Schizosaccharomyces pombe: one gene and its partners. The gene in region 2 interacts genetically with the main gene of each other region. Each region holds a gene or a part of one and is shown on either strand. Other genes may lie near its edges.

What was found. A genetic interaction does not mean that the proteins touch.
Region 1: mutations in cwf21 (region 2) and vps38 together harm fitness more than expected from each alone (negative genetic interaction), as found in Schizosaccharomyces pombe (one large-scale study listed by BioGRID).
Region 3: mutations in cwf21 (region 2) and fsc1 together harm fitness more than expected from each alone (negative genetic interaction), as found in Schizosaccharomyces pombe (one large-scale study listed by BioGRID).

Annotation. Positions count from the first base shown.
Region 1 is NC_003423.3:1,804,622-1,808,819, reverse strand, and holds vps38 (phophatidylinositol 3-kinase complex subunit Vps38), read right to left. Parts: upstream 2,590-4,198; 5' UTR 2,559-2,589; coding exon 2,322-2,558; intron 2,092-2,321; coding exon 1,921-2,091; intron 1,857-1,920; coding exon 840-1,856; 3' UTR 503-839; downstream 1-502. Other genes in the region: arrestin-related substrate adaptor Any1, read left to right, coding at 1-418. UniProt on the Schizosaccharomyces pombe protein: Involved in endosome-to-Golgi retrograde transport as part of the vps34 PI3-kinase complex II. Mediates the interaction between atg6 and the pik3-ppk19 core complex, leading to the recruitment of atg6 to the membrane.
Region 2 is NC_003424.3:2,561,944-2,565,900, forward strand, and holds cwf21 (protein Cwf21), read right to left. Parts: upstream 2,308-3,957; 5' UTR 2,021-2,307; coding exon 2,018-2,020; exon of another isoform or gene 1,947-2,017; coding exon 1,068-1,946; 3' UTR 534-1,067; downstream 1-533. Other genes in the region: rog1 (lipase), read left to right, coding at 2,336-2,363, 2,528-3,957. UniProt on the Schizosaccharomyces pombe protein: Involved in pre-mRNA splicing. May function at or prior to the first catalytic step of splicing at the catalytic center of the spliceosome. May do so by stabilizing the catalytic center or the position of the RNA substrate.
Region 3 is NC_003424.3:898,781-903,785, reverse strand, and holds fsc1 (fasciclin domain protein Fsc1), read left to right. Parts: upstream 1-2,015; 5' UTR 2,016-2,032; coding exon 2,033-4,219; 3' UTR 4,220-4,503; downstream 4,504-5,005. Other genes in the region: DNA-directed RNA polymerase I and III subunit Rpc19, read right to left, coding at 110-240, 318-394, 443-540, 614-685; rps102 (40S ribosomal protein eS1), read left to right, coding at 4,837-5,005. UniProt on the Schizosaccharomyces pombe protein: Required for the fusion of autophagosomes with the vacuole.

The DNA.
Region 1 (4,198 bases), on a different chromosome or scaffold from region 2:
ATTGGAGGAGCATATGCAGTTTAGTTGTCAACCATGTGAACGCCATCGTGATTTGGTAAAACCTCGACCTATTGAAGAAAAAAGAATTTTGAGTACACAAGATTTACAATCGGGATGGAAGTTCATTGATAATCAGATGTTTCTATCTACTCAAATTAACACATCTTCTTTAAGAGAGCCAAGCTGTGACGTGGAAATTCCTGCCCCTTTTTCCTTAAAAGTCTCTCATCATTTAATTTTTGAGACCATTGTTAATAGAAAAAAGAACGTTGCGGGAAACAATATGGGCAATGCCCGTATCTTACGAGTATCAGTCGTTCAGCCACTTACCACGCCAGCTGGTTTAGGTATTAGTTGGGATGAAGAATGCCCGCCAGTTTTTGAAAGTGTAGGACCCGCTCCGCCTGCCTATACCTAGAATATGTGGGTCGGATGTAACCGGAAGAGCTCGATCACCATCACATAACTATCAAAAAATGAACATGGCTCTTTTTATTTTTTAATTCACAAGTTTTATTAATTTAAGGGAACTATTTATAATATCTACATTCATCATTATCTGTTTATTTTTATATTTTAAACGTAAATGCATTGTATAGTAGTTGTCGCAATGACAATGAGTAATATGCCTTCGGCAAATGTCCATAAAAACTCTTCATTAAGATGATTAAAATTAAACCGTGAAATGGGTATATGAATTTCCAACAAAGAATACGAAAACGAAATTGATTGTTGAGAGTAAACTAGGGTGAAAAGATACAATTAAACGATAGACAAGTTATGCGTAGTTTTGCAATTAACGATAATTTAGGCTTATGGTGCCTAAGCTTATGGAATTGTTAAGGAGCGGTAGACGTTACTTGTACAAAAGATAGATGTTGTCCTGATAAAATAAATTGGAGCAGTTTTTTAAAGTTCCTGAGTATGTCCATGGATTGGTCAATAGGTAATCCAAAAGTTTCTAAAAAATCATTTACATCCTGGTTGAGAAGATAAATGGCATGTTCAAAAAGCTCAATTGGTCGAGTTGCTGGATAAAGGGGAAAGATACGCGTGGGGATGTCGGGTGTCAATGTATCCAGGATGGAGGATCTCGAAGATGCGCAAAGAATTGGATAAGCGAGTTCTTTTTCGAGATACTTTGAAAGAGTTTGAAGTAAATGCGCCAAAAATCCTATGGAAGCAGCCATTTCCACATTATTAATTTTATCTGGCTCAAAAGATAGGCGGAGATTGCGAATTGTAAACTCGTCATGATTGCCAGGCGATGGTTGGATTGGGTAAATTTTGGAAAGATGGGAAACGTGCATACGAATAGCATGTGCCATAAGGATTCGAATCTCTATATTGGTCTCTACTTTTGTTTTTAAAGAATTGGCAAGTTCCACATACTCAGCTTCATCTTTTTGAAGGGATTCTTTGGATTTGTTCAAAGTGTTCCTTTTTGAGGATAACCAGCTTTTCGTCTTGTCAAATTTCGTCCTCATCTGAGTGATGCTATTAATTTGTTTTTGCCAAAGATGTTCTAATTTAGCCAGTTCATCGATTTTTTCATCCCGAAGTAACATCCTTTTGTGCATCAAACGTATCTGCTGAAACTCCTCCTCCTGAAAATGAGCTCGAATTTCATGTTTAGCAATGTGCATTTCATCTATGCATTCAGCCAGTTTCAAAATTCGAGTGATTTTCTGAATAGTGTAACCATCCTTCCGCCTGTCTATAGAATATGTGGAGGCACTTTTTGGAAAGGAGGTCTGTCTCATAATATCCGAAGACTGGGATGTTGTGTAGATGTAAACGCCATCATTAAATTCACATAAAAGACCGTTTCGAATATGACAAACTGCAAAAACAGGCTACAAATAATATGTTAGTCAACACAAGGGAAACATAAGGTAAACCAAAAATATTCAACCGTACATCATTACCAATATAACGAAAATTACTGTCATATCTCAAAATTTTCCATTCTTTATGTAGCTTGAAGGCATGACTACTTGATGAGCACCAAGTCCTCACGATAAAGTACTCTTCGTGACGGTATTTTTGAAGCTTTTCGGTTACTTTTTCATCGACGTAAAAGATGTGATTCTAATGAGAGGTTAGACACAAAGAACATAAATACATACAAAATTTGTATATGGGTAAAAGAGATACAAGGTATAAACTATCAATTGAGGGCTTTGTTTCAAGGATTTGAGCAACGAAATTTTGGCAAATCACTTGTATAAACAAACTGATTAACCTTTTCAATCAAGCAAATAACCTAGATATAATGATACCATTCAGATACTTTTGTTTATCAAAGCATGTTCACATACAGCATTTCCGCTCGTTTCAGTAATATAAACAGGCAATTTCTTACTCTGCACATGCAATGATATAAAAATACGAATAGTTCCTTCGGAAATTGCACGTTTTAACTGCACATCTCGTTTCCACAAATTTTCCGTCGTATTGATCGCAAATTTGCTATGATTTTGAATTTCTTGAACATTTCTTATTTGTATTGATTTAAGCCTGGAAAGTCGGTAGTTTCCTGGTAATTCAAGCGACATTCTATCATGGTTAAAGCAATGAATGCTTTTGCTTCATCGCATCGCCCTACTTGGTAAACTCAGCTGAGTCTGGTGCTAGCGTAGGATAACAATATACTGGTTTAGTTCGTTATTGTCAGCAATACTACACTACGCAATGATACTCCACGTTGCATATCACTATATGTCACATGTTCACAATGTTCTATTTGCTCTATCAACTATTACATGATAAGTCATCAAGATGGAGATATAATATCATTCATGATAAGATAACTATCAGATATAATTCTTACTACTTCAAATATTATAAATTGAGAACAACTGAACCTCGTCCCTCAGTTCAGTTATAAGATATATTAGTGATAGGTAACATTATAACCTAGTTAATACAATACCTATACTCAGTTGCTACTCATACAACCTGTGTATTGTAATATAATAGATCACAAGGAAAACTCACCGCAGTTCTATGTATCCTTAAATCAGATACCAAACTGCGAAGCTAACATTATATGCACTTTATTGTCAGCAGCAAGACTTCACTAAGCCCTTTTGCGTGTCATTATATGCTACCATTAATTAATTGGATTATAATACTATACATAATATAATCGTTAAATGTATTTATATTAAATTATATTTAGATAATTCTGAAACTTTGCCGTAATATATCTTATTCTTAAAGCTGGCCACTGATCCTTTAGCTCAGAACTCATTCTTTAAGGAAATTTAGTGTCTTCCGTAATGGTTGAATGAATTTAAAAAGGTTCAATAAAATAATATAGCAGAAATTAACTGTAAAGAAATTTTTTAATTGATAACTGATGTGAGTTTGAATCAATGGCGAAAATTTTTTTTTTTAATTGCTTTATTACTGTCTTCGAAAATTGATGTACTATGGCCCAGATCATTATGAGCAAGAAGGTCTGAGCCAAAAAAAAAAAAAAAAAAAAAAAAAAAAAAAGAGTAAATCAAACATTATTACCAACAAAAAAGCACGCTTTCAGTTTTTACTATTCATTTGTCCGCTGAAGAAGCACAAAAAAAAATTTGATACTTTGTTTTTGAAAACAATTTAACCATATTTACAGTCAGCAAGAAATAAAACGCAGAAGAAGTAAGTGAAATAAAAAATAATTTAGAGCAATATTATAAGCAACCGAACAGAATTGCTATGATCAAAATGGTATTTAAGAAATTTAAACAAATTCAATAGTAAACGCTGTTACATGTTGCTAAAAACATTATCGGCCAAACCAGTAGAACTTCCAGAGTGAGCTTATTTTCCTTATTATAGGTTGGACTTGCTAATGTTGTTTAAATAATTTAACTATAGATATATTCTGTAAACAATCGAAGTGTCATCAAGCCCGTCCTGAAGAAACCCGATAAAAGATCTAAAAACACAAATTAATTTACAGTCACAATAAACAAATTAAATATTTTTTAGTATGCGGCGATAATTTTCGTTAAGAAAGGAACCAGTAACAGTGGGTATTGCATATGTGCATACAATTGGAATGTGGAGATGAAATGTAAATAAAATCTGCAAACATGATAAAATGAAACTTCAAGTTATTTTATAATTTAAATCCACTTTGATTTGACTTCCGTCTGATATGTCAAACGAGGCAGAATGAACATTTGCTTTACGAGTT
Region 2 (3,957 bases):
GCTTGGTATATTGGCGATAGTAACAAACAAGCTAGTCGAAAATTTTTAACTAGTTTTTAATTCAGATTTCGATAGAGTAATCGCGTTAAATATATTTACCTGTCCAATAAAAAATTTCGATGAAAAAATGTTTTTTTTCTTTTCAATTATCTACAGAAAACTAATTAATTAATGCTTTGCGACTTAGCAAGAAGTTGTAATACGTGTTTAATGTACTGTAGTATCTAGGAAATTGAAAGTTATATGAAACAATAGATATTTATTTTAAAAAAGTTAAAGCGATTGGAAATCAAGATTTGAATGTATGATTAATTTTGTTTAGAAAAAAAAATGGGTTTTCTCTCAATGTCGCAGTGTCATCCTTGTGCAGGGGCCATGCTCTAAACAACGAGTTAGTATGACTCGAACCTTGGTAAATATTGTTACTTACAATCTTCTCTGTATCGTTTCAATTTGACCAAAGTGATCCGAAGATCATCAGAAAATAAAAATTGTATTATTTATAATTAAACTTATATTATAATTTTTTTTATAAATTGGTTTTATTATATAATTAATATTGCTTTAAAGCAAGTTCATTTTGTAAAATATATATAATAAACATTATTGGTATAAAAGCTCTGAGATTTACAGTATGCAGGAAAACAAAGCCGCCAAGAGCTACTTTGACTAAAATCGCGTGAATAATCTCGAAAATCTTTATTAAAAAGATTCTTTTATGCTTAATTAATGAATTTAAAATACAAATGTAAAAGCGTAATTGTAAATTTAAAATTGCTTCATTATCCCTCCGTGAAAAAGAAAAATATCAAATGATGTTTAAATCGTGCAACTTAACAGCCTTAATATAAAGTCGATAGTATTTTTTCTTTGAAGAATAATATTTTTTATATCATTGAACAGTCGTGTGCTTCATGGGATTTGACTAACGTGTATTGCTAACCAAATATTCATATTAATCCAACGATTGTTGATGACCCGAATAATTATCCAATATTAATAAACAATACATGCTTGCATGAATTGCCTATTATATTATTGTTTTAACTGGCCTAACTCTTTGGGCCTCATACAATTTCGCCACCCTCAGGAGAGGAATCCCTGTCCACAACAGGAATTGACTCATTCTTCGTATAGGAGGGTGAATTGCTTCTTTCTCTCCTTCTATGATAAGAATACCTTTCCCGTTCATCGTGTCTATTATAATCTCTTCTGGGTAATTCAGAACGCCTTGAGTAACTTTCATTACTACTCCGTCGTCTTTCTAATTCATCGTAGGAGGAATACGAATCGTAATGTCTTCTTCTATTTTCATTGTAATTGTCCACATGCCTTTTTGAATTTAATGATTTCCTCTCGGAATAACGCGGGTAATCATAATAATCATCGTCAACTGATGATCTCAAATCGTCTCTTTCTTCTAATCGCCCATCATCGTCATTTTTCGAGTGAAATCCTCTTGTTTCTTTTCTTTTCTGAGGTTGAAGAATGGATTCAAAATTTTTTCCTTTTTCAGTAGATTTTTGTAATTGCAATTCTTTAAGTAACTGTTCTCGATATTTTTGTACTAAAATTTCTACATCAGCTTCATCTAAAGATTTAGTTTTCGATTGTGATTGCTCATCTTTTATAATTGCTTTAGGTGGCTTCGGGTTTTCAGTCCCAAAATTTGTATTGGAATCAGATGCCGCTGCATCAGTGCTGTGTTGGGAACTGACCTCCTCCAACAACTGCTCTCTGTACAACAACAACTTCGACTCAATTTGTCGACGGCATTCATGCTCGCTTATTGAAGGATCTTGAACCCGTTTTTCCAGAGCTTTTGCATTTCGATTTGACTGTAGATTTGTATTTTTGTCATATTTTTTTACGTGAGACAGATTCCGCATTACGTATCCATTTGTTCCTGATCCTCTTGGAGTGGGTAATCCAATTCCATTATACGACTTTAATTGTTAGCAAAGGACTCAATTTTGGTGTCTTCTTCATTAAAGAAAGCTTTTTATGCATCTCTTACCATCTTGCTTTATTTCCCGTGAAGTCGTTCGATTTTTGCTTTTGCTCAAAAATTAGAAAAACTGAGTTTATATAGGTTCGTCGAACAGCTAGTCTAACAAAGGAATCGAGCGAACAAATTTTACCGGTAGGACACTGATAAATTCGCGTTACTTTTTACGTGATATGAGCAACTAGCGATTTACTAATTGAAACAGATAAAATTTTATCCCTATTCGTTGACCGGTATTGAAAAATAATTGATATCTCTCACCTTTCACGAATAGCTAATTTTCAGATTTACTAGTTTTTGAGTTGTCATCGCTTGACTTCTGACATTATGAATGTATATGTACAACGAGATGACGGTAAGTTACTTTAAACAAAATTTACCACTCCTTTAAATTGTATTTGCAAGTTGATATTATCAGCTCGTTATTTAAAGTTTCGATTTGTTATGCTTGTTTCGATGCAAAAATTTTGGGATGGCATATAAATATTTAATACTTGTTCTAACATTGGCATGGTACAGTTGGTTTAGGTCAAATACATCGATTTCGAATTTTTGTGCAGAGTGGGGGCAATTTGCATTCGGCAACGTCTTCTACAACTGTGCCCCCCACTGTGAACCTCAATTCAGTGACTAAGAAAGAGAGTGGTAGCATCGAGGATAGAGCAGGTTCAGGTGGGATGACAATCTCTAGTGGGGAGAATATCAGCAAGCAAATCTCAGAGAATAATAGTAGCACGAATCCGAAGCATGCAAATTCAGAATCCTCACCTCTTCTTTCCAGCGATTTTTCATCTTCTTCAAAAGATTATCATAAAGTTGGTGCGTTTACAGATAATACCAATGCAATCAACATACCTGAACAAACAAGAGGTGTCTCTCATACCTCTTCTTCTCCTTCTGTAGGTACTTCATTCTCTTCTATTAATCTTCGTGAAGTAAAAAATCCCTTGGCAGGAAGCGACTCTACAGCTCCCTTCATAAATTCGACTAACTCGGTACTTTGGATTCGTGTCAGGAATAGAGAAGCACGTTTCCGCCAGGCAGCCTATCTTCAAGGTCCATTTACATTATGCGTTAGCGTTTGGAATGACCAATTTTTTGATGAAAAAAATTCTTTATTAAACTTTGATCCTCAGGTACAGCCCTCTACTAGTTTTTGGGTCTGTGTACCTTATTCATGTTTTTCCAATCAGCAGCCTATTTACATTGAAATTGCAAGTCAGGCGATTTTTAAAGATAGATCTATTAACTTTGAGCTTGCTATATCGCAATCTCAACATTCCATTCGAGCCATGTCAGCTGCTGATATCGATACTCTTCATGCATTCCCTGCTCTACACGTTGAACATCAAACTCCGGAAAATTTATGGCGTCTTCCGTATTCTTCATTTCATTCAAAGAATTCACATTTGGTGGTGCTAACTCATGGAATGCATTCTAATGTTGGTGCTGATATGGAGTATTTAAAAGAAAAACTAATAGAATCATCAAAATCTGTTAAGGAACTAGTAGTTGTTCGAGGATTTACCGGTAACTACTGTCAGACTGAGAAAGGGGTTCGCTGGCTGGGTAAACGACTTGGTGAATGGCTGTTGGATATTACGGGCTGGGGAAGTGCATCTTTTCCTCGATATTCCCATATATCAGTTGTCGCCCACTCACTTGGTGGATTGGTTCAAACATATGCTGTTGGTTATGTACATGCAAAAACGCACGGTGCCTTTTTTCAGGCTATTCACCCTGTGTTTTTTGTAACTTTGGCAACTCCTTGGCTCGGTGTTGCTGGTGAACATCCTTCTTATATTGGTAAGGCTTTGTCCTATGGTATCATTGGTAAGACAGGACAAGACTTATCTTTAACTCCACTGAATCACTCCATTGAATCAAGACCTTTCCTTGTTTTGATGTCTGATCCTTCCACGCCTTTCTTTCAAGCTGTTTCGTTTTTT
Region 3 (5,005 bases), 1.7 Mb from region 2:
TTCACCGACCTTAATGGAATTAGAAATGCCCAAATATTACCTGCTAAACTGCAGCTGATGGAATGATAGAAATTTAAATGGAAAAGTCCAAGGGAACAAATAACCAAATTTATCCATCAACCTCCATGGTAGTAGATGTATCTCTAGGAAGTTGTTCAGTAAATTTTTCTGTAACCGCATCACAAAGGTCAATCAAATCATCGAGCCCTTTTCTTAAAACATCTACAGCGGTTGTTGAAGCTTGAATTCGTTAGTTGAGTTTGTCCCAAAATATTATTAATCAAATCTATAAGTTAATATTTCATTCAATCACTTACGTGCTGTCTGAATTCGAAAATTCATTTTTGCTTCAGATGGATGTGGGATGGAGTAACCGCAAAACTCAACCTCAGGACTGAAAACATTAGTGTTAATATATGTTTACAATTTAATATCAATTTACTTTTTCATAATGACATAGCGAAGAGAATTGCCTAGCGTATGGTCCTCTTTTTGAATTTGAAATGTCACAGATGTAAGATCAGCAGAATGACCAGGAAGCTATAACTTTAGTTAGCATATTAATTGAAGGAACAATGCTAAAGAAAATCAAATCCTTATGCCAAACACATACGATAATTATTTTTTCAGTTGCAGATTCCATAGCAACTGAGCTAGGATCTGTTACGTCTGTCATTGCCGCCATGTCTAAAGTTTATTTTATAAAAAAAAGAAAAGATACAGCGAAACTTCTATGCAAACAGCAATATTTGGCTCTTTACAAATTTTCTAACGCTGCTCAATTTCCAAAGGAAGAATCCGTATTTAGTGTAGGTTAACGCATATTTTTGCAGAGATTTTAGCGTATGATCCTGAAGCAACAAGAGGCTGCGTTAAATCGTTGACAGGTAAAAAATACAAGATTTTGTTGACGAGTCAATGAGTTTCAATTTTAAAGTATTTTATCAGTGTTTGCATTATTTAGTCAAATAACTGTAGTTAAGCCTATAGCTTTACAGAAATTTCATTGTCTTTAGACACTCACAAGTTATATGTTGACAAAAACCCCATACAAATGAGCAACTAATCATCAAACTTGATTGCTGCCGTGACTTTAGTATAAGCATTTATTATACAAAATGTTTACAAAACTATGATCAATTTTTTTTTGTAACACTATTACTGTTAAAAGAACCACTGGCTGTTTTGCATGTTGATTGTTTACTGTATAACTCTTAAGCCGAACCTATTGAAGTAAATATAAAACATATCATAAATGAGATTATTCCAAAGATATTTTTAACCATCATCGAATATGGCATTAGATAGAAGAGTGCAAGTACTAAAAATCTCATTGACATTTTTTTAAATAATATGCTGGGTTTTTATATGTGTTTGACATTTTAAATAATTGATTTTACGATACTAGCATCAATAAGATTTCCAGAAGATACATTTGATTGCCGGTTCTTCATTTTTTATTTTATTTATTTATTTTTTTTAAATCTATATTTTTGCGACAGCTATCATATAGCAATTGTTTCAATAAGCCATTTTTATTCAGCATAATCACAAATAAAAAACTTTCCAATAAAAAGTATAAATTTCCTCAATTTATAATTTATTATACTTCATCATTTCTAATTAAAGTACTTTAAAAGAAAGAATATATTCAGAAAATATCACTGTTAACTAAGTAAAATTAATATTTATTATTCGCCTCGCCAGTACTGGTAATTGGTAATTTAAAGTTAATGTGTCGTAAGAACCGTGTCCTAGTATTTAAAAATCATCTTCTTTGTTTGTTTGTTGCGTATTAATAGTTTTCTATTGAACTGAAACAATTTGAGAAGCACACTCGTTTGTAGCACAACTGTTCGCGGACGACACTACTTTTCAATAAATGTGCCAGATTGATTAATAGTTTCAAGTCTCTATTAAATGATCAATTCTTTGAAAAAGAAATTTAGTTTTCTTTCAATTATAAAGTATTTTGGTGAATTGCAACTAAATCGCTGCCTCACCTTTCATCTCCAACAAAGCCATAATCGCAATGAACCTTCAATTTCGGTTATATCTCTTATTTATTCTTCTATTTATATCATTTGCTAATGGTAAAAATGAGTATGAAGATAAATCTACTTCGATTATAGATTTACTGTCTTCAAAATCTCAGTTTTCAAAATTGATCAGACGGTTGCAACGCAATCGTCTGGTTCCTTATTTAAATCGAAACAAAGGACTTACACTTTTCGCGCCTTTAAATGAGGCTTTTCCTGATGATTCGATTGAGCCCAATTTGTTATATTATATCGTAAATACAACAGAACTTGATAGATCGGTGTTGCGTACTCAATTGAAAAGCTCAGACGGTCAGCAAATCGCTTTAAAAATTCATTACAAAGCAGAAACTGGTAGGGCATATGATAAAGTCAACAATGCACAAATAGTTCAATCGAATTGGCGTGCTGACAGCGGCGTCGTTCAAGTCATCGATAACATTATAGATCTTCCGCCTCCAGCCCTCGAAATATTAAGTTCTGAGAAAGATTTTTCAATTTTTCATCGTTTATCCGTCGCTTGGGTTGGTGAATATTCATCTGTTACTATGTTAGTTCCTGACTCGTCTGCCTTTTTAAACGTGTATACCAATACGGAATTGGCATATTTGTATTCAATGTATGCTGCTGAAGACGTTAAAACACTCATCCATCAACATATATTGGTTAATCAAAGGGTTTATGCTGAAGATGTTATAGAACCGAAGACTTTTCATTATAAAAATGGGATTTCCATCAGTATGAAGTTTGATAAGGACCAAAAAAAGTTGTTTATTAATGATGTTTCCACCACAAAATATGATTTATTGACTTTTAGTGGAGCAATTCATACTGTGTCTTCACTTATCAATCCCGAAATTATAAGTTTTACTCCTGCAAAATACCTAATAGGAATTGGGGCTGCTTGGTTTAGCGAGAAGCTTTCGAGAGAAAGGAAATCTATATCTGTTGATAAAACAAGCAAACGGGCAATTTTAGCTCCTACTAATTGGGCTTATCGAGAAATCATTGATATTGATTACCATATAATCGAAAATTTTGATCTACCAGCGCCTAATAAGTATGCATTGTATGTGACAAATATCAAATCTGGAAATTCTGTGGGTGAAGACACTAATGCTCTTGTCCGTATTGCTACTGGTTCTGCTGGAGAAATGTATGTTAATGTGGAGACGCGCAGTATTCAATCAGAAAATATTGGGAATGTTAGTCTATATGTTTTAGACAAAGATATAGAGCCTCCGCAACCATTACTTTCTCAGCTTATCCTTGTGGATGAAATATCTTTCAGTGTTCGGTACCTTGCCTCATTGGGTTTGGGTGATTATACCAAAGTGACCTGGTTTTTAGTAAAAAATAGTGCATGGACACAATTAGGTCTTGTTCATCTTGTTTTGCAACAAAATTTGGAATTGCTAGAAAGCGTCATGCTTGACTATGCATTTGAGGGGATAGCTTTCTATGGTTCAAGCGATGAGGCATGGGCCAGCGGGAACTATACTACACTTTCCAATAAAGAGTTTTTAATCGAAGGTGTATATGAAGACTCAAACTCACGTAACAAACGTGATTTATTGAGGATAAATAATGAAATTTATGAGGTTCAAACTCGGGACTTGTTAGTGAAAGATGGAGTGGTGCATTTAGTGGACAAGGTTAAATTACCATTTTCGGTTTCACAAAAGGACATGATTATTGCCGGAGGGAGAAAAGAGTTTTTGGAGCTTCTTGATAAGTTTGAAATGTTGGATATGTTAGACAGTGGGTATCCGGTTGTTGTTCCATCTTTAACAGGTTCTGATGTGAATACAAAAGACTCTAGTTTTGCAGAAAGGCATATAATTGATCCTGAAAAGCGCAATTTTGTAATTTCTGGTTCCCGGTTATCTGTGGATAGTAGTCCTTGGATAAGCATTCAGGATTACGGATATTCAGAACTTGGCAATGTATACTTTGTGCAAAACGCGATTCCGACTAAGAGGCAAAATCGTTGGAGAATAACTTTCATTTCTATTTCGGGACTATTACTGTCTGTTGGAATTTGTGTACTTTGTTATAAAATTTATTTTAAATTTTTCCGTAACAGATTTATGAATCAAGGGGAACGGGAGCCTTTGCTTGCTCCTGCAGATTCTGATACTATGGCGGGAAGACGAAATTCTTCGTCTTTATCCGTATAGAACTACAAATATAATGACCTATGTTTAAATTTCTTAACGTTCATTGTTGAAAAGATTATGCTAGTTTACATTTTTTTATGCTCAATTAATTTTATGTATTATGCTTTCGGAAAATGGTTCTACTCTTAGTATAATTACCATCTTTAAGTATTGGATATTTTTTTAACCTATCAAAAAAAGCCTTTCGTCTGTTTTTTGAAAGACAATGATTCTCATTCATTCGATAATTCTTACATCCTTTCAAATTTTCATTTAAATATTAATTAAAGTCCATCATTTTACGAGAGGGTTTGAAGAGTAGCTATGATAAACAATTGTGTGTAAACAAGCAAATGGAAGAATAAAAAATCGAGATGATAGCTTAAAGACTTCTTAATGACCGTTCAATGGCTACTATCATCTCCACATTAAGTATTAACTAACACTGTTAAATGCTCCAAATGGCACATCGTATTCTATTCTATAAATGTAAATTATTACCCTGAACAATATATATTACGTTATTTATTATAACGCAGTTCAAAACATCATAAGACTATTACCCTACCCTCAAAAAAGGACAGTCACAAATAGCACTTTGAGAACAACTAATTTTTACGAAACCAAACTTCTCCACAATGGCAGTTGGAAAAAACAAGAGACTCTCCAAAGGCAAGAAGGGAATTAAGAAGCGTGTCGTTGACCCCTTTTCCCGTAAGGAATGGTACGACATTAAAGCTCCCGCCTTCTTCGAAGTTAAGAACGTTGGAAAGACTCTTGTCAACCGCACAGCCGGTCTAAAGAATG